Alligator mississippiensis: one gene and its partners. The protein of the gene in region 4 purifies or fractionates together with the protein of the main gene of each other region. This does not show direct contact. Links are inferred from orthologs where the notes say so. Each region holds a gene or a part of one and is shown on either strand. Other genes may lie near its edges. The genes, in order: SREBF1, SREBF2, INSIG1 and SCAP.

Region 1 (7,232 bases), on a different chromosome or scaffold from region 4:
CCAGTGTCATCGTTCAGGAGTCGTGTCCTGTTGCTGGGTCCCTGGTTATTACTGCCCCGGCTTTCTCCACAGTGTCACACATGACCGCACCTTCCCGGGAAACAGTGCAGTTCCCCTGCTGGCTCCAGCCCCACCGTGCCCGCGATTCCAGCGGACGTCCCTTGCCTGCGGCGAGTGCGTTGCTGCAAGTGCTAGAAGCTCTGTGGGTTTCTTGGCAGGCCTCTTCTTTTCCAAGCCTGGGAACCTGTAAACAGCCACATCAGGTGATTCTAAGCATACTAATCCAGCCGCCTCACCAAGTCCTCCGATTAATAGCGCCGCTAGAGAACGGACACTGCCAAGCAGGGCTCACCCGGGTACAGAGCTCGAGGGAGTCGAGACAGGGAGGGCATTGCTGCAGGGCTTGGAGCTGAGCTGGGACGACCTGGTGTTGCTGATGGAGTCCTCCCTCTGCCTAACTTGTCTGCATCTGCCCTCCCCTAAAGGGAAAGGAGAGGGCACCCCTCTCTCCTCTGCCCCCTGCTTCCCAACCCCTTGATTCCTGATTGTTCCCATGGGCGAGATCCCAGAGGGCTGCCATGTGATGGACTGGAGCCCCTGCTAGGGAGGGTGGAGCAGCTGGGCCTCAATGGGGAAGTGCTGGGTGCCGCTGGGAGTCAGGGCACTTTCTTATCTGTGCTTCCAGCCTCAGGCCCTCCGGGTTGCCTGCTGTGGCCCTGCGTATCGATGAGTTGGAGGTCATGCTATTTTTTGCCTGGGAGCAGGTGTCCCCTCATTAACGGGGTGGGAAGGCAGGGCAGTAACTCACGCTCTGGTCGGCCCTTTGCTAGATCCAGCGCTTCCAGGACCGTGTCTCCTATGACACCAGAGGAGCAGCACTTTTGGGCACGGGCTATTCAAAGCAGGGCAGACGTGGGGCCGAAAGCCATGGGACATGACCGAGTGGGCTGCACTTGCTGGAGGATGACACCAGTCGGTGGGAACACCGAGTGCCCGGAGGATCTGTTGGTGGACGAACCGTTGCTACAGGTTCCCAGTATCCTGTATCAGGATCAGCCCGTCTTCCCTGTGCTGCTCATCATGGTTTGCAGGAGTGTGAGCAGTTCAATCCTCCCAGTCTCCCTTTACTTGGGAAAAGCCTGGATTATCCCTCTTGTCTGGAGAAAACTGCTCCCCACCTGGACTCCTCCGTCCCTGGCCTTGCCAATGCTTCCCCTGCGTGAGCAGGACAGAAGCGACGTGGCGTGGAGACTCCCAGGCCAGGAGGAGCGGAGCTGAGCTGCTGCTTGAACTGCTTCCGTCCAGGCGCGGCCTAGCAAGGCTGAGAGCTTGCTCAAAGATTTTGCCTCCGCTGCCACACGCTCCACGACAGTCGTAGTCGGGACCCTCTGCGAGCTCCAACAACACCTTATCCTAGGTTAGACTATTTATTTTGTCGATACGTGTTTTTTTTCTTTCGGAGACATGTTTAACCTCCTCTGTTAACCCCTCATGCTCTGAGATGTACAAAGTGAATTGTTTCTATTTAAATAGCTATTTGGGGGGGCAGGGGGGCGTTATGTTCTGCTTTGATTGTCGTGTGTAGGTTCCACGTGCACCTTTGGCAGGCGCGGGGTAGGTGACAGCGTGCCGTATGGACTCGTAGGGCCTCTGGTCTGTCCGTGAAGCTCATAAAAACATAGCGCGGCGTCTTGGAGGGAAAGGCACGTGTCTGCAGGGTGGTCACAGCCAGACCCCTGGTAGCTTCCAGCATCCCTTTCTCCTTCCAACTCGAAGAAGCCCCTTCCCCAGGCTCCACAGCGGTGCAGTTCTGGCACCCACATTTCCAGGGTGTTTCTGCGCTTCTAGGGAGAGGAAGGGGTAAAGCCGTCAGCCTCCCTGTAAGCACAGGGCTTTGGCTGGGCACAGGTGGTGGCGAGACTCAGTTTCCTCCAATAGCCGAGGACCGGTGCTGGGCTGAGCATGCTGGTGTCAAGAAGGGAGCATGCTGCCCAGAGGCGCTAGGTATTAATCGGAGCAGGGCACGTTCCGTCTCACCCAGCCAAGGTCCTTGTACCTGCTTGCTCCTCTGTAGCGCTGCTGTCTGCAGCAATCGGAACGGGATGTGTGGCGTTGGAGGCGGGGAGGGCAGCAAGCCTGTCCAAGCAGAGCCCGTCCAACTGCCCGCCTTGGCCCCGGGCTGTTGTGGAGCCTCTGTGGTTGTCGGGAGGTCCCGGAGGTGGGGTGACAACGGTTCCCGCCTGGCCCGGTTGGCTCTGCCTGCGTTTACCTCCAAAATGCCACAAGGCAAACGCAGCTTGGTGGGGTGCGGCAGATGGTTCTGTTTGGAAATAACCTCCTGGGCTGCCCCTGGCATCCTGTGGGCATCTCCCTGCTGCCCTGGACTGGCCCAGAGCGAGCGTGGCAGCAGGCGTCCCCACCGACCCGCGGCCACTAGCGCTCAGGTGCCACTTCTGTCCACTTAACCCTTTCAAACGAACACCGGCGGGACCAGGCTGCACCTGTGCCCGCTGCCCACGGCTTCCCGAACCCCCCGGGCTGGTGCTCTTCCACGCGGCGCTTGAAGACCTCCCTGCCTCAGCCAGGCACCGGCAGCAGCTGCTCCCCTCTCCCGCTGGGATAACCGAGCCCACACTCGACTGACAGCTGGCTTTGGTCCCAGCCTGTCTCGTTCCCCCCCCAGCTCTCCCTCCTGCTGTCTCTTCTTCCTTGGTGGCAAACATATGCCAAACCAACCGCCCCGCTCTGTGTTTTTATGAGTGCGAGCTCCTCCTCATTCCCTACATGTTCCTACGAGCTACTGTTTAACACTACAGACATAACCCGTGTACTAGCTTCTCCTGTATATTAAAGCTGTAGGCTTTCCGGATAAAAACAAAGTGGAATAATATTTATTTACTGAAGATATTGGATATTTTTTTGTTTGGGGCGGGGGAGGGGAAAGGGACTTAACCATTTAAAAAGACTGACAATGTAAAAAAAAAAAAAAAAAAAAAGACACTAACCGTCATTGCTGTCTTCACGTAGAAACCAGTGTATGTCAGGATGCTCCACATGTATTAATCCATCTCTGAACTTGTTCCAGAAATCATCTCTCTAGTTTGGTTCTTGCATGTGAAATACTCCAATAAAGCACTACTCGTGTGAGCTGTTCGAGCCACCCCCGTCTCGGGTCCTGCTTTCCGGGTTTAAGCGCTGCGAAGATCTAGCTCCGTCCGCGCCCGCCCGCGGTCAGCGGCCGGGTCACCAGCGCGTTCCCAGCGCCCCCCTCGCCCGACGCTGGCGGCACAAAGCCGGCTTCGCGCCTGTGCCCTTGGCCCCAAACCGGCCACAGCGCAGGAGCTTTGTCGGCAGGGCGGGGTGTGGCGCCACTGCCCGCCTGCTCCCCACACCCGCTCCGTGCCTGGCACAAGGCTGGAGCGCGAGCAGGTGCCAGCGGTGGCGGCGGCCGGGACCCCCGTGCCCCTCGCGCCCAACGCACACGCTCATGTCCTAGCGCCCCCGCGTGCTCCTCGGATGGGAACGAGGGACTGGTTCGGTGCCACGAGGTCGGTGCCACCTGGGTCCTTGCGGGCGCTTTTGGCGGCAGGGCGCCACTGAGGCGGTTCCCGCCAGGCAGGACAGGCCATCTCCCAGGTGCAGCCCTGGTCCCCTTCTGCCCCTTCAGAGATGCACAACAGGACGGGGTTTCACGCGGGCACCCAGGAGGCAACCAAAACAGGGGTCGTGACCCCAGGGGGGCTCCTGGCCCTCACACGCAGGGGAGCTGGGCGTCGAGACCTCGGCCTGCAGGACCCCGGCGCGCGGGGGTGCCTTTCCCGCCGCCCCCCACGCCAGCGCTGGGGCCGGGCCACGTGCTCGAAGCGGCACGTGGCGCCCTCTGCAGGGGAGCCCCGCCCCCTGGGCCGTCCCACGTGGCCCGCGCATGATGTAATCGCCGTGACGCGACATCACTCCACTCCGGCCACGCGCGCCCATTGGCCGCCGCCGCCTCCCATCAATACCGTGGGCGGGGCTCCCTGCGCGCATGCGCCGCCGGGCCCCGCCCCCGGCCGCGGCTCATTGGCCGTCCGCCGGCGCGGCCCCCGCCAATGGGGGCCCGCCCCTGCTTAACCACTTCCCCGCCGCTCGCGCCACCCACGTGCTGGCGACCCACGTGCGGGGCTGACGTCGCTGCCGTGACGTCAGCGCCCGGGAGCCGCTCCGCGCGTGGGGGGGTCGCGGGGCTGGTCCGCGTGGGGCCACCCCGCCCGCCCCGCCCCCGGCTCCCGTCACCGGGGGCGCGGCCAGCGCCAGCCCCGCCCGCCCAGCAACAGCGGCGGCCCCGGCGGAGCGGGACGGGACTGGACGTGCAGGAGGCGGCGGCGGCGGGAGCCGGAGCGGGATCGGGATCGGGATCGGGATCGGGGCCGGGCGGGAGGATGAGCGGGTTCGGGCTGGAGGCGGCGGCGCTGGAGGCGCTGGGGCTGCACGAGCCGAGCGACATCGACGCGGCGCTGCTCAGCGACATCGACGGTGAGTCCCGGCCCCGGCCCGATCCCCCCCGCCCCACGCGTGTGCGCGGCGCTGCCGTGGGCCCGGGCCCCGCCCCGCCCCGCCCCGCCCCGCCTGACGTCAGCGGGGTTACTGCCGGTCGTGCCCCGCCGGACCCTGCGCACACGTGTTAGTGCAGGGGCACACACACACACCTAAACATACCTGTGCACATGGGCACGGGCACGCCCGTGTACAGCCAGGGACGTGGGGTGCAGGGCTGTAAACACGGGCACACCCACGCACGCATACACGCAGGTGGGTGCAGGGGCAGGTAGATGTGGCACACGTCTGCACACCGGCACGGGCGTGCCTATGTACATGTGCACGCAGCTGTAGGCTTGCGGGCACACCTGCATATGCACGCGGGCACACAAGTGTGGGCTCACGCTGACGGATGTGCGGGCACGCACACGGGCACACACACGTGTGCGCGGCTCCCCGAGGGCGGTCACGCCCCTCCCGCGTAGGGCAGCCCGAGCGAGGCTGGCGGCGTTGCCGTCCGGCCCCGCGTGGTCCGTTTCCCCTGCCGCTGCCCCCGCGCCGGGTGGGTGGTGGTCCCGAGCCCCCGGCCCGCCCAGCGTGGGCACCCGTCACTAGCTGACCCCCGCAGCCCACGGGGAGCAGCGGGCAGGCCGGTCCTGGTGCCGCGGGGCCGTCGCCAGCAGCGGGGCTCGGAGCACCCGCGGGTGCGGGGGCCAGGCTGCCCCGAGGCGCCAGGGAGCGACGGCTCTCCGGCTGCGGGGCCGAGCGGATGACCCCCCCCCACAAATCATCGCCGCCAGCGTTGTGGGCACCAGTGGGTCCACGTTTCCCGCCCGGGCAGGAGCTTGGCCCCGTGCCCAGCAGTGCCAACGGCATCAGGGCTGCTTCGGGCGCTCCCGGTTCTTTACGAGGCGAGACGGAGGTTTTATAGCGGTGCCTGCCCGGGCCTGTGCCCGCGGGTGCTGTTAGGAGCTGGTGTGGGCGAGCGAGCTGCAGCGCGTGGCCCGGGGGCCGTGGCACTGGCCACCCTGGGCATCTCGGCTGGCTGGCACGCCAGGCCGAGCCCGAGGAGCGCGTGGCCGGGGGTGGGAGAGGGAAGCGGGAGAGGAGCTGTGGGGGGCCTGGACTGTGGTGGATGCTGCTGCCCCTGGGGTCCGTGGGCCCAGCCCCGGGACTGCGGGCAGGGCCGGGCGCACGGTGCTTGAAGGCCGAGGGGCCGGGCATTGGCGCTGGGCAGCACGGGGGGCTCCACGCACAGTGGGCGGCGGGCGCTGCCCCAGAGGCTTCGCCGCCGTGGCCACGTGCCCTGGCACAGAGGGCCACGAGGCTTGGGTGCCAGGGTGCCAGGGGCAGGGGTGGGTGCTGGAGCTGGCCCCCTGCTCTGACTCATCCGGTGCAGCCAGGAGTGGGGATGAGGCCCTCAGCCCAGCCCTGCGCCTCCGGGCCCCGTCTCTCCCTGCCCGGCCCGGCGCCCGAAGGGTTAACGCAGGAATGCCCGCGAGTAACCCCGCCGGCAGCGCAGGGGTTAAGGCGGCTTGCCCTGGAGTAACCCTGCGCCATTCAGGTCGCGAGGCCGGGCCGGCGCGCGCTGATTGGCCGAGCGCGATCACCTCATGCCCGGGCCCTGATTCACAATTCCAGCCGCGCGCCCGTCCCCGGGGGGTGGGGGGCGGGAAGAGCCCGGCCCTTAAAGGCGCCGCGCGCCCGCTCCCCGCACGGGGCCGGGCGCGGCTGCAGGGATGGAGTGCACCTTCGAAGGTACCCGGCGAGGTCGGCCCTGCTGCCAGGCTGCAATGGCGAGGGGGGTTGCACGCTGTCCCCTGGGCAGTGCAGCCTGCTGGGGCGTCCTGGCAGCGGTGCCCGCTGGCACTCGTGCCCTGCCCTGCTCCTGTGCCTGCCCCAGCTGCTCGGCCGTGGGTGCTGCAGGCCTGCCCCAATTTGCAGCAAGGTGCCTGGGCGGCACGTGGGCACATGCAGAAAGGCTCCCCTCCATCCGCCCGGCGTGGCGTGGGGGACTGGCCCGGGCCGCGAGGGCAGGTGGGCGTCAGGACTGCGACCTCCGGGGTTTTGGGTGCTTCCCAGCCAGGCCCACGCTGCAGGGCGCCAGCCCCAACCCTGATCCCTGCCCTCCACGCCCCGGCTGCGTGCCACGGGGGGACCCGGGCAGTGCGAGGGGCGCTCGTGGCAGCAGGAGTGCAAAGCGGGCTGGTGTGCGCCTGGGCTCTTGCTGGGTGCCGGGCTGCCAGGGCTCAGGCAGGGGGACGCCGTGGGAGAGTGAAATGGGGGCCACGTCCCCGCTTGACTCTGTGGCCCTGGGCATGTTCTCCAGCCTCCCTGTGTTGCAACCCCCGCCTGCCCCGCCGGGAGAGGATCGTGGTTCTGCCCTTCCCTCTGCCTCGGCAAGGGCTGTTCAGACTGCAGGTCCCCCCCCAGGCTGCCCCTGCCATCCCCTTGCTGCTGTGACGGGCAATGGCCCTCTCCCCTTGAGGGCTAGCAGAGGCGTTACTCTGCTCCCCCCCAGAGCTAGCCGCTTTCTGAGCCCAGCTCACTTGTTTTCTTGCCGTGCAGAACAAACGTCTCTGGAAACTGCTCTGCAGGCCTGGGGGTGACAGCCCCCCAGCCCAGCCCTGCAGCCAGGAGGCTGGGCCGCAGGATCGGGCTCCTCCACCCGGGGACAACAGTGTGGAGGCTGGACCCCTCCCTGGGTCTGCCCC
Region 2 (6,951 bases), on a different chromosome or scaffold from region 4:
AATGATGAATGCTGGGCAACAGACAACACTAACTTCATCCCCAGGAGACAGCTGAAAAAATATGTGTACACTCATTTTTTTCCTTTTAATGTCGCCATGAAAAAATTGAGTTGAAATACCAGGGAAAGGAACAGACATAAGCAGTTGAAAGGGTTGATTCAGGTGGAAAAAAGTACTCTAAATGTATGTGTTCTGTGCCAGATTCACTTTTCCAGGATAGGAAAAATATTTTTGATATGTCTTGTACAATCTGGATCTCAAATGCATCTTTTTGCAACGTTTTTACAGCCAACATAATGTTTTTCTTTTTAAACTGTGTAGCACTGCAGTAAGCTGCATGTGGACATTTTGTATGGACAGACCTACATTTTATACAGTTAGTAGGACTGATCAGTGCTCTCACACAACACTCCCTGGCCTCATTCCAGGTCCTACTCTGCAACCTGAACTCGCAAAGTACTAACTTCCTAGAGTATTCAGCACCTGGGCACTAGGGCCTGGACACTGCACAGTCACAATCATTTACCTTGCCATGTATGTTTCAGACTGACAAGCTACTGTAAACTACTGTACAAATGCACGCATTTGTAAAGAATGGACTGCAGAGAATACTCTAGCCTGAAAGAGCAGAGTGTGTGGCAGGGCTGCTGCTGCTGCTGCCCTGGCAGTGAGATAAGGAAGATTTAAAAAAAAAAAAAATCAAAGTTATTTGACAAGCTCGTGTTGGACTGCAAAACACCAGGATCTTGCATGCTGGACTGCAAAACACCAGGTTCAGACATTTGGTGTATGTGCTTGGCTGAGGAGCCAATGGGGCGAAGCTACCATCTGTGGGATTATGACTGAATGCCTCTAAATCAGAATCCCCCCTAAACGTAACGATACCGCAGCGCCGTGGAGCCTCGGGTGGCCCCGGACCTTGCTCTTGCTTCACCCCATCTAAAAATGTAACTTAGGGCTGAGCCAAACAAAATGCTCCCATGCTTCCTTTCCCTCTGTCGAGGATGAGTTGCTCTGAACTATACCAAACTGGCTGCATCAACTAGTAACACTGCTGACCAATAACTGATCAGAAAATCTGCCTCTTGGTTCGGTCTACCAACATCAAATGGCTGTTACACACCAGGTGACAGAAAGAGCACCTATTGTTTATTCTCTGAAAAGACCGCCACCTATAATGCTTTACATATTCAATGAGCAGCACCAACATAACCTACTAATATTAAGCTTCAGCACCCTTTTGTATAATAAGCTATAACATCACCTAGCCCCATTTTGCAGATTGTAAAATAGCAAAAGAATTTCCTAAGGCAACATTACAAGTTAGCAGCAACTCTTAACTCCAATGTGTGACTCAATGTTGTATTGATCCACCAGGGAGGATGCTGTAAAACACATGTGCTCCTCCCTTCGTGCACTGCACAATCAACTGTTGAGCAAAGCCAGAAGAGGCACTTGTACAACAGCAGGCCATGTTAGCAAGTCTCCTGTTTCTTCTGCAGGCCAGCATTTATATTCAGTCCAGATCAGGTGTTCACTACCAGGGAACAACAGAAAGAAACTGAGCAAAGGGGGGGGGGGGGGGGGGGGGGAATAAAGCATCTGGGAAACGTCTCCTTTTGGTAAGGCATATTTAGGATTCTATGGAATACCTGCTCATAGAAATCAGTGAAAGCCCAGATGTCTGAGTCATTTATACAGGGGCTTGGAAAGGCACGAGGGAGTACATTTCAAGCAACTTACTGCTGACTTCAGACAGGCTAGAACTAAGGGGAAGATGCAACTTAACTTGCCTGCATCCTTTCCAATTTCTTTGATGCTAAAACCAGCTATTTATAGGCCGTGACACTTCAAGTTATTAGTAGGAAAGAAGTAGGAATCTGGGCAATGAGAATAAGCAGCACAGTGTTTACTGCTGCCAGGACAAAAGCAGGTGCCCCAAACCCAGATGTCTGAAAGGACACTACTATTCCCGTACCCTACACACACACATTCACACTGCACTTATTCCCAGTGTCAATCCCACAAAAGGGCCCCCCAAGAAAGCAATGGCTATGATGAAACCAGAGAGTTGTTGACGACTGCCCCATCCCTTGCGAGCATCCGCTGTTAGCCAGAAACATCCATATGGCAAACTCTCAAAAAGCAAGAAAGAAAAAGAAAAAAAGCATGGTGGAAGCTGATGGAGATCCTGCTCTCAGGGGCACTCCCTTGCACAGCAGCCGGGGACACAGGAAGGCAGCACACACCTTTCAATCGGGGATGCCAACAGAAATAAAGGCTTCTGGGATGCAACAGTCTGTGCGAGAAGCACACCCATGGCAGGCACAGCGTAGACACGCAACCCTGCCTGGCGGATGTGGGCCAGGAGTGGCAGAGCCCCGGGGGTGACTTCTGCCTAGCAGGAAGCCCCATGGTGCCCACGCAGGTGAGTCTCGCCCAGCAAACCCCACCTGCATGGGACAGCCAAGCCCCAGGCAGAGGAAGGCAGTAGGGCCCCGACACCCTGCGCCCACCCAGTACCCTCCACCCAGCCCACGCGAGGCAGGAGAAGGGTCTGGCCCAGCCAACCCCACCTGTGTGCGAAGGCCAAGCCTGGGGGCACACGAAGACACCCTGTGCCCACCAGGCCCACCGCACCGAACCCGCGACAGGGCGGCCCCCCACGCGCGGGCCCTCACCCAGGGCGGCCCCACGCGCGCCCCAGGGCCAGGCTGCGGGCACGTGCCCCCCACGCGTGCCGCCGCCCCACGCATAACCGCGCGCAGCCCGCGCCCCACGCGTGACCCCCGCGCTCACCGTCGATGTCGCCCAGGGTGAGCTCGTCGCCCAGCTCCGTGAGGGTCTCCATGGTCTCCATGCCCAGCTCGCCACTCTCCATGGCCGCCACCGCGCGCGGGCCCGCCCCGACCGCTCACCCCGGGCATCAACCGTCCCGCCGCTCAGTCCCTGCTCCGAGCTCCCGCAGGCTCCGCCGCCATCTTGGGCCGGCCCCGCCCCCCCGCCGGGCAGCCCCTACCCCTACCCCCACCAACGCGGCAGCGCTCCCGCGGCGCGTTGTCAATGAGACCAGGGCCCCTCCGACCAACCAGCGGCCGCGCCGGCTCGTGGTGTGATGGCGCGTCGGCGATCAGCAGCTTTGATTTGCATACATAGCCCCGCCCCTCCACCTCCTTTTCTCTCCTCCTCTCCATGTGGAATATTCATGAGGGGGCGGGGCCGCCTTGCTAATTATTCACCAGCGCGAAGGAGAATTTAAAGGGGCAGAACGCAGGAGGGGGGGCTGCAGGGCGGGGCGGGGCGGGGCGGGGCGGGGCAGGGCAGGGCAGGGCAGGGCAGGGCAGGGCAGGGCAGTGCAGTGCAGTGGCAGCACCAGGAGAGCTCAGGTGCTGGCAGGGCTAGAGCGAGGTGCCAGGAGCCTGGCTGAGCCCTGCACGCTGCCAGTCCTCCAGGGCCTTCCCACAATTCCCACCTCCGGGCACAGGACACAAGCACTCCCTGCCGGTGGGGCCAGGCCCTGCAGCTCAGCTGAGCGCAGCAAAGGGGCCTTCGGGCCCCTGGGCCCTGGAAACACCAAGGCCTGAGCAGGCATTAGGTGCCCCAGGGCTTGCCGGTGCAGGCAGAGCCCAGAGGGAGCAGCCCCCTGCAGCCCCAAGAACACAAGAATGACCGTTTCCAGGCTCTGCCCCTTGGGCCCCGGGGCCAGTGTCACACGGCAGGGAGGGGGTGCACAAAGGAGGAGGGAACTGGGTGCTGCCAGGGTTTTCCGCACTGCTCCTCTCACTCACAGCCTCCAGCATTCAGGGTCTAGACTCTAGGCCCAGGGTGCTCAGCCTCTGGCCTGTGGGCCAAATGCAGCACACAGAGCCTTGGAAAGCAGGTTGCCCGGGTCCCTGCAGGGCAGGAAAGTTGGAGCAGGGGCACAGGGGCAGGTCAGGCTGCCGCCCTCCCTGCTGTCAAAAGGCCAAGGCCCTTGCGAGGGCTCAGAGCCTTGACCTGCTGTTCTCCCCACATGGTGCTGGGCCATGCCTCCTTCCATCTGCCCAGCCAGGTTGGAGCTGGGCTATGCCTGCTTCCTTCCATGGGGCAAGCCATGCCCTCTCCCCTTTAATGGCTGGTTCAAGGTTGGGCCATGCCCCCTGCCCCCCCAAGCTGTTTGCCACACCCCTTTCACCTGCTCCACCAGTTTGGAAACAGGCCATCCCCCCCCCCCCCCACTTTCCCTACACAGCTGGCTGGGAGCCAGGCTGCTCTCCCATTCCCCTCCGCACAACCGGATGGGGACCTGCCACGCATGCCCCAGGGGCTGAACTGGGTCCACCTGCCCAATCAAGCCCATGAAGGGACAACGTCTGATTCAGAGGCCGTGCCCCTCACTTCTGTGCTCAATAGCAACTGATGCCCCTTTCCTCTAAGAATGCATCCCATCCCTTTTTGAACCTGGCTAAACCATCAGGCAGGCAAGGAGTTCCATACTCTCACAACACCCTGCGTGAAAAAGAACTTCCTTTTGTTAGTTTTAAACTGATTGCCTCCTGGTTTCATTTTGTGATCCCTACTTCTTGTATTCTGGGAGAGAGTAAATAACAAATCCCTGTTTACTTTCTGTTCACCATTTAGTATTTTGTAAACATTTATGTTCCGCCTCATGCATCTCTCTTCTAATCTGAATAGGCCTGGCCTCTTTAATCTCTCCTCCTATGGAAGAGCCTCCATTCCACTAATCATCCTTGTTGCCTTTCTCTGTACCTTCTCTAGTTCCTCTATATCCTTTTTGACATGCAGGGACTAGAGTTTGAGGATTTCTTGATTTCATTGCAAGTTTCACAATAAATGATGTGTTACTTGCACCTTATTTCTTGCCCTCCGTGGTTGTAGAAAAATACCTTTACAAAGTGCCCCGAGTGTTCCTAAAGGTTCAAAGACTCAATGGCAAACATAAACACACACCATACAGAACACAAACTATTGGGCAATTTCCAATTCTTGTGATTTTAAAGCCAGTCTCCCTGATTTGGGGAGGGCCCGACTCACAATTTGAAAATGTCCAAACTGGCCGTACTGCTGTGGAGTTACACTTGGGAAAAGTTAACAAAACCATCTCTCTAGTTATGGTTTAACCAGCAACCTGCAGCTCCCCTGGCCAGGCTGCATTTCAAATATAATCCTGTCGTGTCATTTCAAGCCATACAGTTTGCCAAATGTACATGTTCTCTGGATAGTTAGGGACCCCTGGCCTTCCTCTCTTACCTCAGTGCAGCCTTTGTATGGCAAACTGCTCCACCCTTCTAGCTCTCCTATTTAGCTGGCCAGGCAACTTTTGTTCCCTTCTGCCATGTGTCTTTTCCCCTAATTAATCGTTCTTCTTCTCTAACCACTTTCTTTTCTGAGGCTCTTTTGGTAGGGAGTCCAGCAATATACAGTCTTGGTGCTCTGATCTTTTCTCCTCTGTCTTCTCTTCCCACGTCTTTGTTTCTTCTTCCTTTTTAATGTCACAAAATCCATTATTTCCTTTCAAGCCCCACTACCAAAACCTTTGTTTGATATTGCCTTTATTATCACAACCTTCAGCCTCTCTCCCTATACTGTAGTCACCTCTCCAAATTGTTGTATTGGCTTCCTGCCTCCACACCAGATTCAAGCTCTCATTCATTTGCAAGCCTTTACATAATCCCCCACCTACACCTCTGCTGTTGCTTTCCCTTCACTGTCCTCAAATGCTCTACACTCTACCCAGTCCCTTCTCTTCTCCTTCTTCCTCCTCCCTTCCCACCCACTCGACCAGCCCTTTCTTCAGCCCATCTCCCTGTCCTCACCTGCCACGCAATTCTTCTTCACATCACTTCTGACAGCCATCTTTCCTCCTCTGATGACTAATCCGCAACCTGTCCCAGCCCTCAATCGTTCCCCTGTCTTTTGTGCTTAACATAGTATTATAGTGCTGCAGGGAAGAAAACACTGCTCCATGAGTGAAGTGTGGCATTAACCTATAGCTCTATATGAATAAAACGTTAACTATTCTGAAATACAGATGTCTCAAAAGTGAGGTGGAGAAGACATTTGACAGCAATTATACACAACGGTTGAAGACCTGAAGTAAAGACTGTAACTACCCAATACAAATTTGGCCATAACACTGGGGCTAGAACCTTTACTTTTGTGACAAGTAATGTTAGATCTGACAGTTTTCAGAGGCCATAGCTTCATTTGTAATGTGCAGGGATCCTGGTTTTCTCTGTTTAAAAAATCCAAAGTCTCTGATAAAAAATTCCAAATTTTCTGATTAAAACCCCCAAAATCTGCATTTTCCCATGATTAAAATGAAACACCACTATATTTTATTTATATATATAATTATTTTTTATTATTATTTTATTATTTTTATATATATATATATATATATATAAAATAAAGTTGAACACAATGTTTTATTGATATATTTGCAATTTTAAAGCAATTTAGAAGCCTACTAGTACCTCAATCGTCATAATAAAATAAATTCTAAATACCTATATACTTTGGCGTTTGATATTTTTTTATCATAGAAAATAATAGAAAAATCAAAGCTCCCCCTACCCACTTTGCTTATCAGGACACGGGTCCAGCTGTGGCTGTTCCCCCATGCTGCTTTGTGGTGCCGAGCAGCCCCAATATGTCGGTGACTTCCTCCCACCCATCCTGTTGCTCTTCACTCCCAAGCCACAGTTCTCCCAGCCCTGCTGATTCTCCTCACTCCCAACCCACAGCATCCTGGCCTTGCCAGTGCCTCTCACTCCCAACCCATACCCCCTTGGACCTGCTTGTGTCCCTCACTCCTAAACTACAGCCCCCCTCTCCCAGCCCCCCAGTGTGGGAAAGGGCATGTGTGGGCACAGGTGATGCGTGGGGGGTGGGAGGGGCACAAGTGACATGGGGGCTTGGGGGCATGTGCCCCCCAAGATTTCTGTGCCC
Region 3 (7,273 bases), about 13 Mb from region 4:
GAACTTAGTGGAATTATTTTAGATATTTGTAAAACTAATAAAGTAAAAATCTGTCTGTATTGCGTATCAAGTTTCAGTAACTCCTATGAGTTTATTTGTGAAGACTGCTGAAGCTATACCCCTGCATTTAGCATCTTGATACAGTTTTGGTTTTGAGTAAGTCCATCCTTCTTTTAAAAAAAAAAGGGGAAAAAAAATCTGACGTTTCCTGATCAATATATTCACAGATCTCCCAAATACTTCATGTTTAACCCAAAAGAGAGGGCTATTTGATTTCTTCAGTATATGGTGATCTTTTCACTCATGCTCTTGAGTTTAAAAGTTTGGGTTTCAGATTTAAGAATACTATAGCTACATCTTTGGCAAACATTCACTGAACAAAAACCTGTGTTCAATGTGAATAATAAACAGGTTAAGTATTAGAGCTGGTCAGGCTAAACAGGAAACACTTGTGATACTGTCTGTATTAGCCTACTATGAAAGTGCAACTCATCTAGTTCTCTCTGGAAACAAAATAATGCAGTTTTGAAAAGCTAAGAGCTAGATCTCTATATAGCAAAAAGACCCCCCCCCCCCCATGTTACAAACTGAAGGTAAGCAGATTAGAGTCAGAAATACAGATGTCTATAGTTTATAAAGACTAATTTATTAGGCTGGCGCAATTAGTGTTTGAAGGCTTAACATACCACAAACTCTAGGAGCTTTACAGACTACACAGTGTTTTGTAAAGCAACTTGCCTGAAGTCAGTATGTGACAAGACTCAAATCCTATAGCCCTCGTTTGAATTCCATTTATTCTGACGGACATCTCTTCAGAAGACAGTTACAAAAATCTTGTCTACGCCCGCTGAGGAAGCTGATCAAGGATGTTGTGCTCAGACGCACCAAAAGAAGCGTTCCTTTAAAAACCTTTACACTTCCATGGAGTTCTTACAAAAATAAGCCAGGCCAAATTGAATTTCTTTTCCAACTCAACAATGTCAGCAACCACATGTAATGTGTAATGTCACGGGTGTTTAAAAAGGCATCTGATTAAAGAGTCATTATTTAAGAAAAACTCCATTATTGGCATCACAAATAATACCTTCATTAATTAAACTGAAAATGATCTTGGCTCATTAGAACCAAGCATGCTTCTACATGCAAGCGTCTTTTTCTGACCATTAGTCACACACACATGTTTATACTGCCGGCACTCTGTTTTTACCATCAAAGCTTCTCCCCATCAGGAACCCCCCCCAAAAACAAGACCAACCAATATATCCACACAAAAAGCCACCCTTCTCTGCCCCCAAGAGTGTTTCTATTAGTTTTGCTTTTAAATTTGAGCCAACATCTTTAACACCCCCATCCCTTCCTCAATCTCATTTGTGTTACATTAGATAGAAGCAGGGCTTAGTTTATTGGCTCCAACACTGAAGCTGGCTACCCATTTTTGTTCCAATTATACAGCAGAGAACTCTTCTTTTCTTTTCATGGGGTGTTTTGTCCCAATTGTGCTATAGTGTTACCAGAAACCGAGGATTCTTGCAGTTACTGCGGCTGTGGCTGCTGGGGGTTGCAGGGCTCCAGGTGGACCCCGTGCGGGGCAGGCAGCCAGACAAGCTCGTCCCACCCTCTTCCGACATGTGACTTCCTTGTTTTCGATTCTCTGTCTGTGGCATGTTCGCGCAGGCAGCCAATAGAGGCAGCGCCTTGCAACTCACCAGTTCTGGAGGGAGCCAATCGTGCAGCAAGGAGCAAAGACAAACCTGCCTCCACTGCGCCAGATCCAAACAGCTGAACCCTACCCGACAACAGCTGGAGGAGGGAGGCCTCTCCACTGCTCCCCTACCCCATGCATCAGGCAACAAGTTAAGAAAGCCCTTCACAGGTTAGCTCGCCATAGCCATAGCTAGCCGAGCGGCAAGGATTTCTGGGTGATCTCTTCTTGACCCTGCCACGTAGCTAGAACAGGGTTAAATTAACCAAGTGTCTGCAGTGCAACAGCCAGTTCAATGAAGACATACCACCCTAGGAAATTCTTGCCTCGCCTCGTTTCTGGACCATCACAGCTACAGCACTTTCACACAACCTACTCTAGCTAGAAAGAGCCGCTCCCCCGCTCTTCGGGGTGGGACTATTTAGGTTTGCCTAGGGCCAGGGCCAGGCACCACAAAATCCTTTGAAAGATGCCATGAGACAAGCAGGTAGCGCACAGGGTCAGGGTCTGCCGGCCCTCTCCTAGGAAGGAAGCCCGGTCACAGGCTGGGTTTGGACCTGTGGTGCTGCCCAGGTCGCATCGGCGAGGTGGGGGAGGCGGGGGGCCTGGTCCACACACCAGCCATGGATGCGGGGGTCCAAGAACCTCCAGCTCCTGTCAGACACGTGGCTGCCCAGCGCACAGGCAGCAACAGCATCCTCCTCCCTGGGGCTGGGAGAAGAGGGCCCGGGGCCAACAGCTGCAGCCGCCCCCGCTGCCACGGAGCCAGGTCCAGGCGGTGCAGCAGCGAGGCCCCGCTCCCCGAAGCAGTGAACGGCGACCCGCAAAATCAATGCCCGCCGGGCCACGGCCACGGCCACGCGAGCGGCACGAGCGGCTGCGAGGACGGACACACGTGCGGGGCGAGCGCCGGCCCGGCCCGCGCCCACGTGCCCGGGACTCACCTGCGGCGGTGCCGCAGCACGGGGGCACCCACCAGGCGGAGGAGAAGAGCGTGGCCATGACCTCCTCGGGGAACAGCGTCACGTTGCGCTGCACCTGCAGCAGGTTCAGCACCAGCGCCATGAAGGCGCCCACCGCGAACAGCACCAGGCTGCGCTGCACCAGATGCGGGCTCCAGCGCGGCCGCGCCTCCGCCTCCACCATCGCCCCCGCCGTGCCGCTCCCGCGGGCGCGCCCCTCCAGCCTGGGCATCGGGCCGCCGCCGCCACCACTCGACCTGCGCCGAGCCGCCCGGGGACGCTTATAACCACCGCCGCCGCCGCCGCCGCCGGCCCCGCGCGCCCCGCCCCGCCCCCCGCAGCCCCCCCCCACAACCCCGCGGGCGGGGCGCGGGGGCGGGGCGGCGCGCGGCGGGAGCTGGCGGCGGCCCCGGCTGCGGCCGCAGTCTGGTGAGGCCGCCCGGCCAATGGGAGGCGCGCGGCCCATATGACGTAGGCACACACCACCCGCCTCCTGCCCGCCGCCCGCCCGCCCGGGGAAGGCGCCTGGCGCCGGGGCTGAGGGGGCGGGGCCCTGCGCTCCCCGCCCCCGCCCCGAGCTGCCCCTGGGCGCTGCCCGAGTGCGCGTGCGCCTACGTACCCCTACAGCGGTATGTGCACGCGCACACACACACACTCTCTCTCTCTCTCTCTCTCTCTCTCTCTCTCTCTCCACCCATGTGTATAGCACAAGCGGGGGTGCCGACTGCTGTAATGTATAGACCCCAGCTTGGGACCGTTATTTCTAGTCACTGCCGGTAGTGCTGGGGGGAACAGGGACTCCCCCAGTGCCTGCGGGTCCCCCTGACTAGTTTGTAAACGGCCACTAGATCCCCCTCAGCCTTCTCTTGTGAAGGCTGAACAGGTTCCCGTCCCGTAGCCTCTCCTCGTAGGGCCTGCCCTGCTGCCCCTGACCGTGCGGGTGGCCTCCTCTGGACCCTTTCATGTTGTCCACATCCCTCCTGACGTGCGGTGCCCAGAACTGGACGCAGGACTCCAGCTGCGGCCTGACCAGTGGTTGTCCCCCCCCAGGTGCAGCACCTTGCACTTGTCAGTGTTGAAACCCATCCTGTTCTCATCCGCCCACCCCTGTAACCTGTCTAGGTCTGATTGCAGCCTATTCCTCCCTTCTAGCATGCCCACTTCTCCCTGCATATTAGTGTCATCTGAGAATTTGAACAGGGTGCTTTTCACCCCCTCGTCCAAGTTGCTGATGAAGATGTTGAACAGCGCAGGCCCGAGGACCGAGCCCTGGGGGACCCCACTGCCCGCATCCCTCCAGGTGGAATAAGACCCGTCCACCGCCACTCTCTGGGTGCGGCCCTCCAGCCAGTTAGTGACCCATTTGACTGTGTAGGTGTCAATGCCACAGTCCCCTAGTTTTTTAATGACAATGGGGTGAAAGACAGTGTCGAAGGCCTTCCTAAAGCCCAGAAAGACCATGTCCACTGCTACCCCTGCGTCTAAGGATTTTGTGACCTGGTCATAGAAAGCCGCCAGGTTGGTCTGACAGGACCTGCCTCTAATGAACCCATCCATGTTGGTTGCCCCTAAGCATAATCTCCCCTGCTGGCCCCTCATGGACATGGGTAAATGGGAGAGCTTTTATTAGGCCAACTAAATAGTTGGAAAAGTTGTTCTTTGCGCAAGCTTTCAGGCATGAACGCTCTTCAGGTATGTTCATCAGCTCATGAAAGCTTGAGCTATGTTACGCACATATATATACAGGTTTCCCTCACTTTATGCTGTACATGTGTTTCTGGAACACGGTGCATTACTCGAATTCACGTAAAGGGAGCCCACTTTACAATGCAACAAATAGGGATACGTTCCAAGACCTCGACTGTACTGACCACCAGACCCATTTCTACCACTTTTCCAAGACAATTTTGGACTCACCTACAGCACGCAGTACACACAAGCATAGGGCGCTACCTTAATGGGGATGGCAGCTAAGAAACACGTGTCGCAGACAACAGGCGAGGAGCGCAGATCCACGCGGGAAACTATATTTTGGTGCGTGTCACCGCACAAAGCAGCTGACTGGGCTTCCAACACACCGATCACATAAGGGTGAATTTACCTCGCACATAACAAATTTTTGGTATAAAAAAGAGTCATCACATAAGAGCGAATGCACACATACAGAACCCGTATAAAGCAAGGGAACCCTGTATCCATTAAAGGCTGAGAACAACTGATCTACTGATTTCTATCAAACATGGGGCTACTCAGAACAGTGGCTAACCCAACAGTGTACTCATATATTTATATATATATATATATATATAAAAATAAATAAAATAAAAGCTGCTTTGGTTAGTCTGTAAGGTGCAAATCTACCCTGCCCTCCACTTAACATCAGCGTAACATGGCCAGCTACTTCTCTAAAAATATCAAGAATGTGCTTCTCATTCAGGGGATACCCAACTGCAGATTTAGTGAAAAGGAAGACAATGCTTGTTCTAGAAAGCAAAACTTTGGGGACACAGGTCGAAAAACTGAACGGGATCCTGCTGGTTCCAGGTCCATATCTGGATCTTTTTCACCTGGACATTTCAGGGGACCAGATTTTTATAATGGACTAGGAGCAGGTGTATTTGGTCTCATTTATGTGCTGTCTAATTTTAGAGTACAATTTGGCAAGCTCTAAGTGCTGGACACATATTTATGGTGCTACAAGGTGCATCGTGGCATGGACTTTATGGTGAGAATACAATACTTGCTCTTCTTTGTGTAGCTTCTAGAATTCAGGGTAAAAAAAAAAGGAGGGCTTGATGAAGGAGAATTCACGTCACTCCATCTATTTGCAACAGGTTTTGATAGGCTTTTTTGGCTCACTAGGAGCTGGTGCATTTTTTTCCCTAGTTAACAGAGACACATTTAGGAATTATTAGTAATTAAACACTGCTTGGCTCCAGGTACATGCTCTTCCAGTACTAGTTAGCTAACATACATTATGGTCTGGATTTTTCCAGTGAAATAGAAGCAACTGCATTTGTTTTGCAATGAGGCTGTCAAGTTTAGCAGTTTGGGTGAACTGGGTGAACTGCCAAGCTCTCTGTTCATCTCCAGCTGGATAGAGTGTTGCATCCAGGTTTTTGCAATGGTTATGGACCAATTTTCATCGTGCTCTGGAAACTATTATCAGTTGGTGCTGTATAAGCAGCTAAACTTTTTTTATAACCAGACCAGACCTTTAAATTTGGGTGTTCAGAGCCAAAAGTTGGTTCCATATAGCAGGATGTAGCTACTGGGCTTGATTTTTCTAGTGCTGAAAACCATGATACAAGATGATTGAGGGTCCAGATTTTTTGTCTGCCTTAGGATGAACCAGACTTTCTTGGTGGAATATTTTGGGGGTTGGGGACAAAAATATCAGCAGTATCCAAGTAGATCCAGCTTCTGTTTTTCCTAACATATATCTTGTTTATGCAACAGCGCTGTTACCATACATTGAACCAGTGAAAAAGTCTTCATGACACCACTAAACATAGCTGTAATAGCATGGGCAAAGTTCAAATCAAGGATACTTTATTGACATGTTAAGTTTCAAGGGATGCCAAAGAAAGGTTTTGGCTTTTTTGATATGGTCAAAGAAAACAAGGTTAATCCAGGATAGGACTACATGTTCTTGAGGGATGTGGGGAGGGACTTTCCCATGTCTATTTCCTAGTACTGTCTATTCCTGGCATTTTACCATGTAGCAAGATGTCACCTCTTGCTGTCTCTCTCTTTTCTCTTAGGATCAGGGTGCAGGTTTTTTCCTCATTGCTTTCTGAAGAAAAGTCTCACATGTTCCTGATATTTTGAGTAAGTATTTTCCTTACACTTCCTCATATTTTGGATGGTGGAGTAAAAAATGCCTCCCTCTCTCAAGCTCTCTTCTGTTTCTGTTCAATTGGCTGCAGTTCTGTCTCTGTTTAGATTGTGTTATGTCTTGTGATTTCCACCAGCAGTGCACTTCACTGTATGTTACTTAGCCAGAGCCTCCTGTAGTTGTGAGGAGGTGGTCTAGTAATACAAGAGTTCTGTGCAGGGATCTGTAGCCGTTTAACTTGTTCCTGTTTTATATTTCTTCTTCCCAGAGACTTAGAGGACAATATTCTGGGTCCTGGTATAGCATCTTGGGTACCATTTAGTTTAAGCAGGATTGTTGGGCCAGGTTGATCAAGAGTTTAGAATTGCTGAGCGTAGAGTGTAATGATGTGCAGAAATGGATTATGCTTGTATTTGGATTGATCCTATGTTTCTTTGTGATGTGGCATTTGTTGCAATGGTACCAGAAATTTAATATTTTTTTTATATGTTGAGTGGGAAGGGTTTTGGGCTAGTCTCAAGAAGGGCCCTCAAGATTGTTTCCATGGTGTGAAAAAATATATCATTCTTTTCTTACTGCTTCACTGAACCTTTTTACACCTGTACAGCTGTAGCAAAACCCCCAGTTTTTTGTTTTTGTTTTATTTTAAAATGCATTCTCTCCCCTTCCCCGACCATTTCTGACTTTTTCTCTCCCTCTCTATTTCCTGTAGATAAGTATGAGCGAGCTAAGACATAGAATAAGCTTCAGCATTTTATTTTGGTAGCAAGT
Region 4 (7,772 bases):
GGCAATACACTAATTTCAAGCACTGGGATCCCAGGACAAACAAAAGCAAGGTACAAAAGAGGAGCTTGTTTGTATTTTACGAACCGTCAGAAAACTGGAAGCTGCATCCAGAGATTTTTGGCAAAAGGCATTGGACACAACAGCTCCTTCTCTCCATGCTCCAAGTCCCAAATGCACAACTTCTCCCCCTTGTAACGGACAGAGAAGTCCAGCTCCCTCCCCACTGATTTCAGAAGCCGCCACCTGCTCTTTCAGAGCTGGAACGTTTGCTGGATTCACAACCCCATGGATTAGACTGCTAACCAGCATGAAAAAAAAAAAAAAAATACATGGTCCACCAGGTCCATCAGCCCACAGCAGCATCCACAGGACTTCCCCTCCTTCTCACACGTCCTCTTAGTGCCTATTTATTCCCCGTGTCTTCTGCACCCACGCTCTGCCCCCTGCTCTCCTTTTGCAAAAGGAGCAACAGCTCAGAGTCATAACACTACACCAGTCACTACCCCCTGCCTTCATCCGTGGGATGATCAGATGCTCTGTTCCCTATTTTTATTCCCTTCTTCTGCAGGCAATGGCTCCCCTACAGCCCCTCAGGCCACCCTATGCTTCCACAAGCCTCAAACAAGAAGTTTCTCCCAGCTGAATGTTTTGGGCTCTTCTACAGAGGTGAACAAGCAACCAGCCCTCTCTACTTCTCTTCCCACATCTAGCACTTGCCTCCAATAGTCTCAGTGTCCAGCTACAGGAGGGACAGAGATCCCCGTCTTCTGCAGGTCTTAAGCAGCTTCGGTCTCTGCAGGGTAGGTAAGGTTAGCTGAATGGTCCTCCCTTCCCTTTCCCCAGGCTGTTTAATGCTGCCACCCTCCTTAGTTACTATTTAACCCTTTCACCAGGCAAGGCCGCTTGGGACGCAGCACGCACCATGCCTGAGGGAGCAGTTCTTGCCTAGCAGAGCCTGATTCCCAGCCCACAACCAAGCATCTAAAACAAGCCCCTCAGGTGCACCAGCCTGCTCGACCGGAGCCCGAGCAAGACAAGCTCGGCCCAACACGCCTACACGGGGCCCCGTCACACCTGGATCAGAGGAAACCAGCCCTCTACTCACAGCTCAGGCTATACAGCTCGTTTCTGTCGGTCTGCAAGGTGCAAACCTACACGGCTCCCAGACTAACACAGACCTCTCCTTGGCAGTGACTTCTCCACCTCCCTGGCTAGGCCCAGCCATCTCCTAACTGGAAAAAGGAGGCAACAAATCCCCCTCCCCAAACTGCCGGGGCCAAGTGGCTTCTGCTTGACTGACGAGCAGGGTCAGGTAATTAGCATGATGATAACAGTAATAATCATAGTGATACCCATCATCAGATAAAGATACTAATGACAAACAAAGTAATGAGGCTATTGATACTAATAAAATAACAACATTAATACCCCCTCCCCCCCCGCCATCAATGGGCACTAATACCTTCCCCCACCAGGAAACAAAGGGCACTAATACCACCCTGCCTCCCCCGGGCATCAGTGGGTACAAATACCACCACCCCCAGGCAACAATGGGCACTAATACCCACCCACCCCTGGCATCAATGGGTACTAACACCACCCTCACCACCACCCCAAGGCAGCCATGGGCACTAATACCCACCCCCCCCCCAGCATTAATGGATACCAATATCCCACCCCCCAGGCATCAATGGGCATTAACCCCTGCCTCCCCCCAGGCATCAATGGGCACTAACCGCCCCCCCTGGCCAGGCATGAATGGACACTAACACCGACCCCCCCCCCCAGCATCAATGGATACCAATATCCCCCCCCCAATCAATGGGTACTAATACCCCACAACAATACCAATACAACTAATAAGCAGGGATCTGCTTATTTTCTCTGATTGGGGATTTGTTTTTCTATTTTTGGTTAAAAAAAAGTAACCCCAACTCCACGTTGTTCTGTGACTTTAAATGAAACGCTGCCAATATACAGATATACATATATAATATACAAGCATCTGTATGTACTGCAGAGGTACATGTATATCTATATATTGACGGCGTTTCGTTTAAAGTCACAGAACAACGTGGAGTTGGGGTTACTTTTCTTTTTGTTTTAAACCAAAAATGGGGGTGTTTGTTTGTTTTTTTTAAGTCATAGAAAGCCAGGATCCCTGCTAGTGAGATATTACTTGCGATACCAAGTGACAATATTAATAAGTAACGATACCAATCAATAACGGTATGAACGATACTAGTATGATACTGATTATGATACCAATAACTACCGTTACTCCCCCAAGCAAGGATACCTTACTATACTTCCACGAAAATCTTTAGTAAAAAGGTGAAAGATTTATGCGATCTGAAGAGAAACCAGAGTATACCAGAGAAACCTTATTATACTTACTGACTAATAAGGAACAATAACAATACACAGCAATATATCAATGATACTAGTAAGATATTAAACGTGACACCAACAATGGGACCAATCGCACTCGGGACACCAATAAATAACGGTATCAACGATGCCAGTAAGGTATCGATTGCGATACCAATAAGTAACGATACTTATTGACCGAGTAATCAGGAACAACAGCAATGGTTACTAATAAGTAACGATACCAATAAACAGCGATGATCCCAAGACGCGGCAATACCAATGATACAGGTAAGGTATTCATTGTGCCACCAATAACGGGACCAGTCGTAAAACTGATGTAAAGTCAGTCAGTGCCGGCACCAACGGCAGGGATGACACCCGCCCCGCCCCCGCTACTAACCATGGCACCGGGGGGGAGGGAGGGGGGCAACACCACCGCGGAGGCCACGACACGACCCGCGCTGCTAACGGCGCCCCGCCTGAGGAGAATGGGTCGGGGGTCCCGCCCCCCGGGGCCGGAAGTAGGGTCCGCACCTTCCGGCCGCGCCACCTTCCTGGCGCGCTCAGCCTCGCTCCGGCTCCCGGCCGGCTGCGGCTGCAGCTCCCTGCGCCCTCTGCCCTCTCACCCCGTGACGTCACGCCGCGCCCACGCATGGCCCCGCCCATCCAGCGCGTGGCCACGCCCCCGCCCGCCCGCCCGCCAGCCAGAGCGAGGCAACATGGCGGCGGGGGTGGGACGGCGTGGAGCAATATGGGGTGGGGAGTGGGGGCACATCTGGAGTGCTGTGTCCAGCTGTGACCCCCCCCCCCCCACTACAGAAAGGATGTGGACACATTGGAGAGTCCAGTGGAGGATAACAAAAATGGTGGTGGGGCTGGGGGACAGGACTGGTGAGGTGAGGCTGAGGGAAATGGGCTGATTTAGACTGCAGAAGGGAAGACTGAGGAGGATTGAATAGCAGCCTTCAGCTCCCTGCAGGGGGTTGCACAGAGGATGGAGCTGGGCTGTTCTCAGTGGGGGCAGATGACAGGACAAGGAGCAATGGGCTCAAGCTGCAGCAAGGGACGTTGAGGTTGGATATTAGGAAAAACTCTCACGAGGAGGGCGGTGATACACTGGAACCGGCTCCCCGGAGCAGCAGAGGAGTCTCCATCCTTGGAGGTTTTGAGGACAAGCCCGGGTGCGTTGAGGCTAACGTCTATGAGACGTGACCTCCCGAGGTCCCTTCAGCCCTCGTTGTCCCGGTCCACGATCTGCGCGACGTTATTTCTGCGCGGTGCCTGAGGGGGAGCTCCGGGGTGGGGGGGACGATCCTCTGGATGGTTAATCCGGCCACCCAGACGGGGTCGGTAAAGCAAGGGCACGCTGGAAACGATTATGGCATCGCCACGTGTGCGCTGGCAGCCGTTTCATCAAACCGTTCCTTATAAAATAAGCTAAAAATCCCTTGTAAAAACCCATCCTGCTCTCACAGATGAGGGTAAAGGGTGGTCAGATGCCCACGTCTCTCTGAGGATCGTTGCTGACGTGCCCGTGGTGAGGAGCATAATACTCAACCGCTAGGACCAGGATGATCGTGAAAGCCAGACAAGCAACTGGTGAACGAATCGTCCCGGGGTGCTTGGAGGGAGCGAGCCCTCGCTGACAGGTTCAGGTACCTTTGACCATTCGTGGAAGCACTTGGACCTCCTGCAGAAAAGCCAGGATCGGCGTGGAGGGGGAGAAACATTAACAATATTTACGCAATTTGGAAGCTTCCTCTCAGTGACCTCCAGTGGGATGGTGCTTCTAGGCAAACCTTTGCTGGCTGGATCAACCCCTGCAGCGCAGCACCAAGGCAACTGGGCTCCCGCTGCTGGGCTTCGGCAGCCGCTGGAGAGGACATGGAGCTGCCCGACGAGCTGTCACGATGCCGGAGAGGGAGAGGTGCTTTTAAAGCCAGGGTGGCAGCAAGACTGGCCCTTCCTAGACTTGCAGTTTCGGTGCCTTTGCAGCCCAATGACAGAGCAGGGTGGGAGCTGAGCCAACAGCACAGCAGATCATCTCACAGAGGCATCAGCTGCCCTAAGCCAGACTTGCTGGACCGCCCATGCTCCATGCCATGCTTGCGGGACTGTGTGGTCAGTGCAATACGTAGGAACCCCCTCCTTTGTCAGAGGCCAGGCCTGTGCTATCACTGCCTAGACTTGAGCTGTTGAAGATAGCTCAGGCTGGCCTCCAGGGACACAGCAGCCAGGGGCCCTGCAGGTGACATAGTCCTGGGCACACTGGCAAGGCTGAACAAGTGCTGGGAGAAGCAGAGACAGGCAAGGAGCAGCAGGGACAGACAAGAACGCTACACGCTGTTGCAACCGGCATCATCTGAATGCACACACAGACGTCACATACCTGCTAGCTTCGCTCTGGCACCTAGACACCCTCCCTGCACACCAGACTCCCGTCGTGCTAGGTGCTGCACAAAGCCATTTGCTCCCCCTGATGGTAGAGGAAGCTAGGGTCTGTTAGGGTCTCTGATCAGGCATGCCCAGCTAGGCCAAGCACCCGAGTTTCTCGCCTGCCCCTGATCCCTGGTTAATCCGACCACCCCAGTTCTCTGCAACTGAATGGCAGCTGAAGGCACCACTCACCCCTTTCAAGCACACCTGCAGCCCCAGGTCTGTTTTGCAAGCCTCATGGACGCTGCTATCTGATTCTCCTGGCTCCTGACTTGGCTTCAGCTTTCCCTGGCCCTGACCCTGAATCTGCCCTGGAACTTGGTACTGGCTCTCTGACCCCTGGTTTTGGATCTCAGCTCACGTCGCACTGTGCCTATTGGATCTCCCTTTTTCGCTCTCCTGGACCTTGGTCCCTGCTTTCTCCAACCTTCCAACCCAGACCCCAACCTGGCACTTGGGTAATGAATGCTCCCACCTGGTTGACCCCCAGGTTGCTCCTAGTGGCCCAGCTGCCTATGTCCCAGATGAACCCTCATGGGGCAGCTCCAAGGGACATTGCAGGTGTTCCCCACATGCAGCAGCTGCACCCGGGAGTCTGAGCAAGGGCAGGACACTGCAAAACCACGTTGTCCACATCAATTGCTGCAGGGCATTAACTTCCATTCATGACTGTAACAACCTCCTTGTGTGGCCTACGAGAGCCAGGTGCCCAAGGTTAGCTCTGGGTATGTGAATTACTCCCCCAGGTCCAGGCATTTGTGGAAGCGGGGCAGATTGTGCTGAAGCACAGGCTGACCTTTCCTCCAAGGCTGGGGCAGTCCTGCCAAGGGATGAGGTTACCATTGTGGCTTCCAGCCAGGCTGTGATAATAGGGAATTAATTGAAATGTTTCCGTGTGTCAAGCCCACACTCGGCACCTGCAAGCAGCCGCTTGTTGTAGGCCATGTCTGCTGTAGCAGAAACAGGATGAAAGCAACCATGTCATGGTGACTGGCTTGCTGTGACTTGCCAGGACTCAGTTCGGGACAGCACCCACCATGGAGCTGCCCAGCAACCTGTCACAATGCCAGAGGGAGAGATGCAAGATGCACTTTTCCTATGCCCACAGATTCAGCTTCTTCACAGCCTGAGGACAGAGCAGGGTCAGAGCTGAGCCAGCAGCACGTCAGAACATCTCACAGAGGTGTCAGCTGCCACAGGTGGGGGAGAAGCAAAACCCTGGCATCTGAAACCCTACACAAGCCATGCAGGGAATAAAAAAGGTATTCCCATGTCCAGTGGACACCTGAGAATAGGTAACCAGGGGGCGGTGGCACTGGGGGGGGGTGGGGAGGGACAGAGCAGGGGAAAGAGCAGAGAACAAAGCAGCAGCAGCAGCAAAGAGACTAGAAAAGGTCTGACCCCTGCTCTGATGACATCTCTCTCCACAGTGCTGCTTTTGGGGCACGTTTTTCAACCCCTTCACTGGAGCGTCAGCTGCATTACGTGATGCCCAGCCCCAACCTTGCTGTGGCCTGTTTACATTCGTTGCACCGGGACTTTTCCCAGGTAGAGGATGGGGTTTTCCTATAAGTTTGTCAATACTGTGTTTTAAATACCCCGCGGGGGTGGTCTCTGTCAGGTCCCAGTTGGAGCACAGTGTTGCCATGTCTGGTCCTGGGACTATGGCCCTTGCTGCACATTTTCCCAGGCCAAACACCATTGCTGGATTGGTGGGGGGTATCCAGAACCATTCCAGGAAGGACACATTGCTGCCAGGATGTAGACGTTCCCCTTCAAGCCTCAAATTTCTTCTCCCACTGTTCTGCTTTGCAAACAGCACTTTAGATAGATTTGGGTACTCTGAGATCACGGACTTCCTAACTGACTTCCTGCCCATTGGTCAGGCTGGATTCAATCTGACGAGGGGGCTGGATTCAATCTTACGAGGTTCCATCCAGCCCTAATGTCTATGAAATCTATGAATTGGACAAGCAGCCAAGCTTCTACAATATATGAAGAATTACAGTCATGACCTCCTCATGCCTTCAGCCCCCCTCTACATGGTAGCTTTAAACTGACCTGGGAAGTTAGTGACATGATTGGCCCTAAACCATGTCTCATGTATTTAAAACTTGCTGACACCCTTGCCTCGCTTTTGTGGCTGCCTCCCTGTTTCTGCAGGGTGGACAAGGTCCCTCAGCAGGGGGTGTCAAATTACTCTCCCAGACCTCTGTGTGGGCATCCCTAAAATGATCCGCTTCGCCCGCATGCACGTCAAACAGGCATTCTCCTCCCTGCTGAGGTTTTCCTAGAAGGCAGTCTTGCAAGCTAGGTGAGGTGGCAGACTGGATGTGGAGCAGGGTTGCCAACTGTCCATAAATATACAGACAACCCATAAGCAGTAGGGGGAAAAACAAACCCTTGATGCACAAAAATAATGGGAACTGTCTCTAAAAAACAGAGAATCAGTGAGCTTGATGGACAGACAGAGCAGAGCAGTGCCACCTAGCATCGGAGTGGGAGCATGGCACCCTGCAGAGAGCACTTTCCAGGGCTTTGTGGTTCCCCCCTTCTCTACTCCCCATCCATGTGCTGCCACTGCATTCCCCCACCCCTTATGCCTGCCTCTAATAGCTGCTTAGCCAGCATGGAGCTGTAGGGTTGGGAGAAGGGAAAGGCGGCAGATAGAGGTCTGTGCTAGGACAGGTGGTGCAGGGCCGGTCGGGGTAAGGCTGTGGGGTGAGATGGGAGTGTGGTCAAGGGTGTCAGTGTGTGAGAGGTGAATAGGGGACCTTGGGATGGGTGTAAAAACATTGCTGCAGTCAAGCAGGGTCACCAACCCAAGACATTTTTTTTTACTAATGATCTGCAAACAATTTTTATTATGGTGGGTGTTAACCCCTAAATATGAGCCCGGCCCTTGTCCCGGGCCTGGCAGAAGGATTATGCAAGACATCTGTCAGTAAAAACACGTCAGTAAA

What was found.
Region 1: the proteins of SCAP (region 4) and SREBF1 purify together in Homo sapiens (affinity purification with western blotting; 4 studies listed by BioGRID and IntAct, with this or other methods). This does not show direct contact. The link is inferred for Alligator mississippiensis from reciprocal best matches to the Homo sapiens genes SCAP and SREBF1.
Region 2: the proteins of SCAP (region 4) and SREBF2 purify together in Homo sapiens (affinity purification with western blotting; 3 studies listed by BioGRID and IntAct, with this or other methods). This does not show direct contact. The link is inferred for Alligator mississippiensis from reciprocal best matches to the Homo sapiens genes SCAP and SREBF2.
Region 3: the proteins of SCAP (region 4) and INSIG1 purify together in Homo sapiens (affinity purification with western blotting; 11 studies listed by BioGRID and IntAct, with this or other methods). This does not show direct contact. The link is inferred for Alligator mississippiensis from reciprocal best matches to the Homo sapiens genes SCAP and INSIG1.

Annotation. Positions count from the first base shown.
Region 1 is NC_081836.1:54,797,765-54,804,996, reverse strand, and holds the start of SREBF1 (sterol regulatory element-binding protein 1), read left to right. Parts: upstream 1-4,226; 5' UTR 4,227-4,421; coding exon 4,422-4,515; intron 4,516-6,203; exon of another isoform or gene 6,204-6,257; coding exon of another isoform or gene 6,258-6,276; intron 6,277-6,354; exon of another isoform or gene 6,355-6,555; intron 6,556-7,232.
Region 2 is NC_081827.1:96,982,112-96,989,062, forward strand, and holds the start of SREBF2 (sterol regulatory element-binding protein 2), read right to left. Parts: upstream 3,006-6,951; 5' UTR 2,882-3,005; coding exon 2,800-2,881; intron 1-2,799.
Region 3 is NC_081828.1:204,484,327-204,491,599, forward strand, and holds the start of INSIG1 (insulin-induced gene 1 protein), read right to left. Parts: upstream 3,003-7,273; 5' UTR 2,897-3,002; coding exon 2,647-2,896; intron 1-2,646. UniProt on the Homo sapiens protein: Oxysterol-binding protein that mediates feedback control of cholesterol synthesis by controlling both endoplasmic reticulum to Golgi transport of SCAP and degradation of HMGCR.
Region 4 is NC_081828.1:217,459,115-217,466,886, forward strand, and holds the start of SCAP (sterol regulatory element-binding protein cleavage-activating protein), read right to left. Parts: upstream 3,008-7,772; 5' UTR 2,908-3,007; intron 2,876-2,907; exon of another isoform or gene 2,774-2,875; intron 296-2,773; exon of another isoform or gene 85-295; intron 1-84. UniProt on the Homo sapiens protein: Escort protein required for cholesterol as well as lipid homeostasis.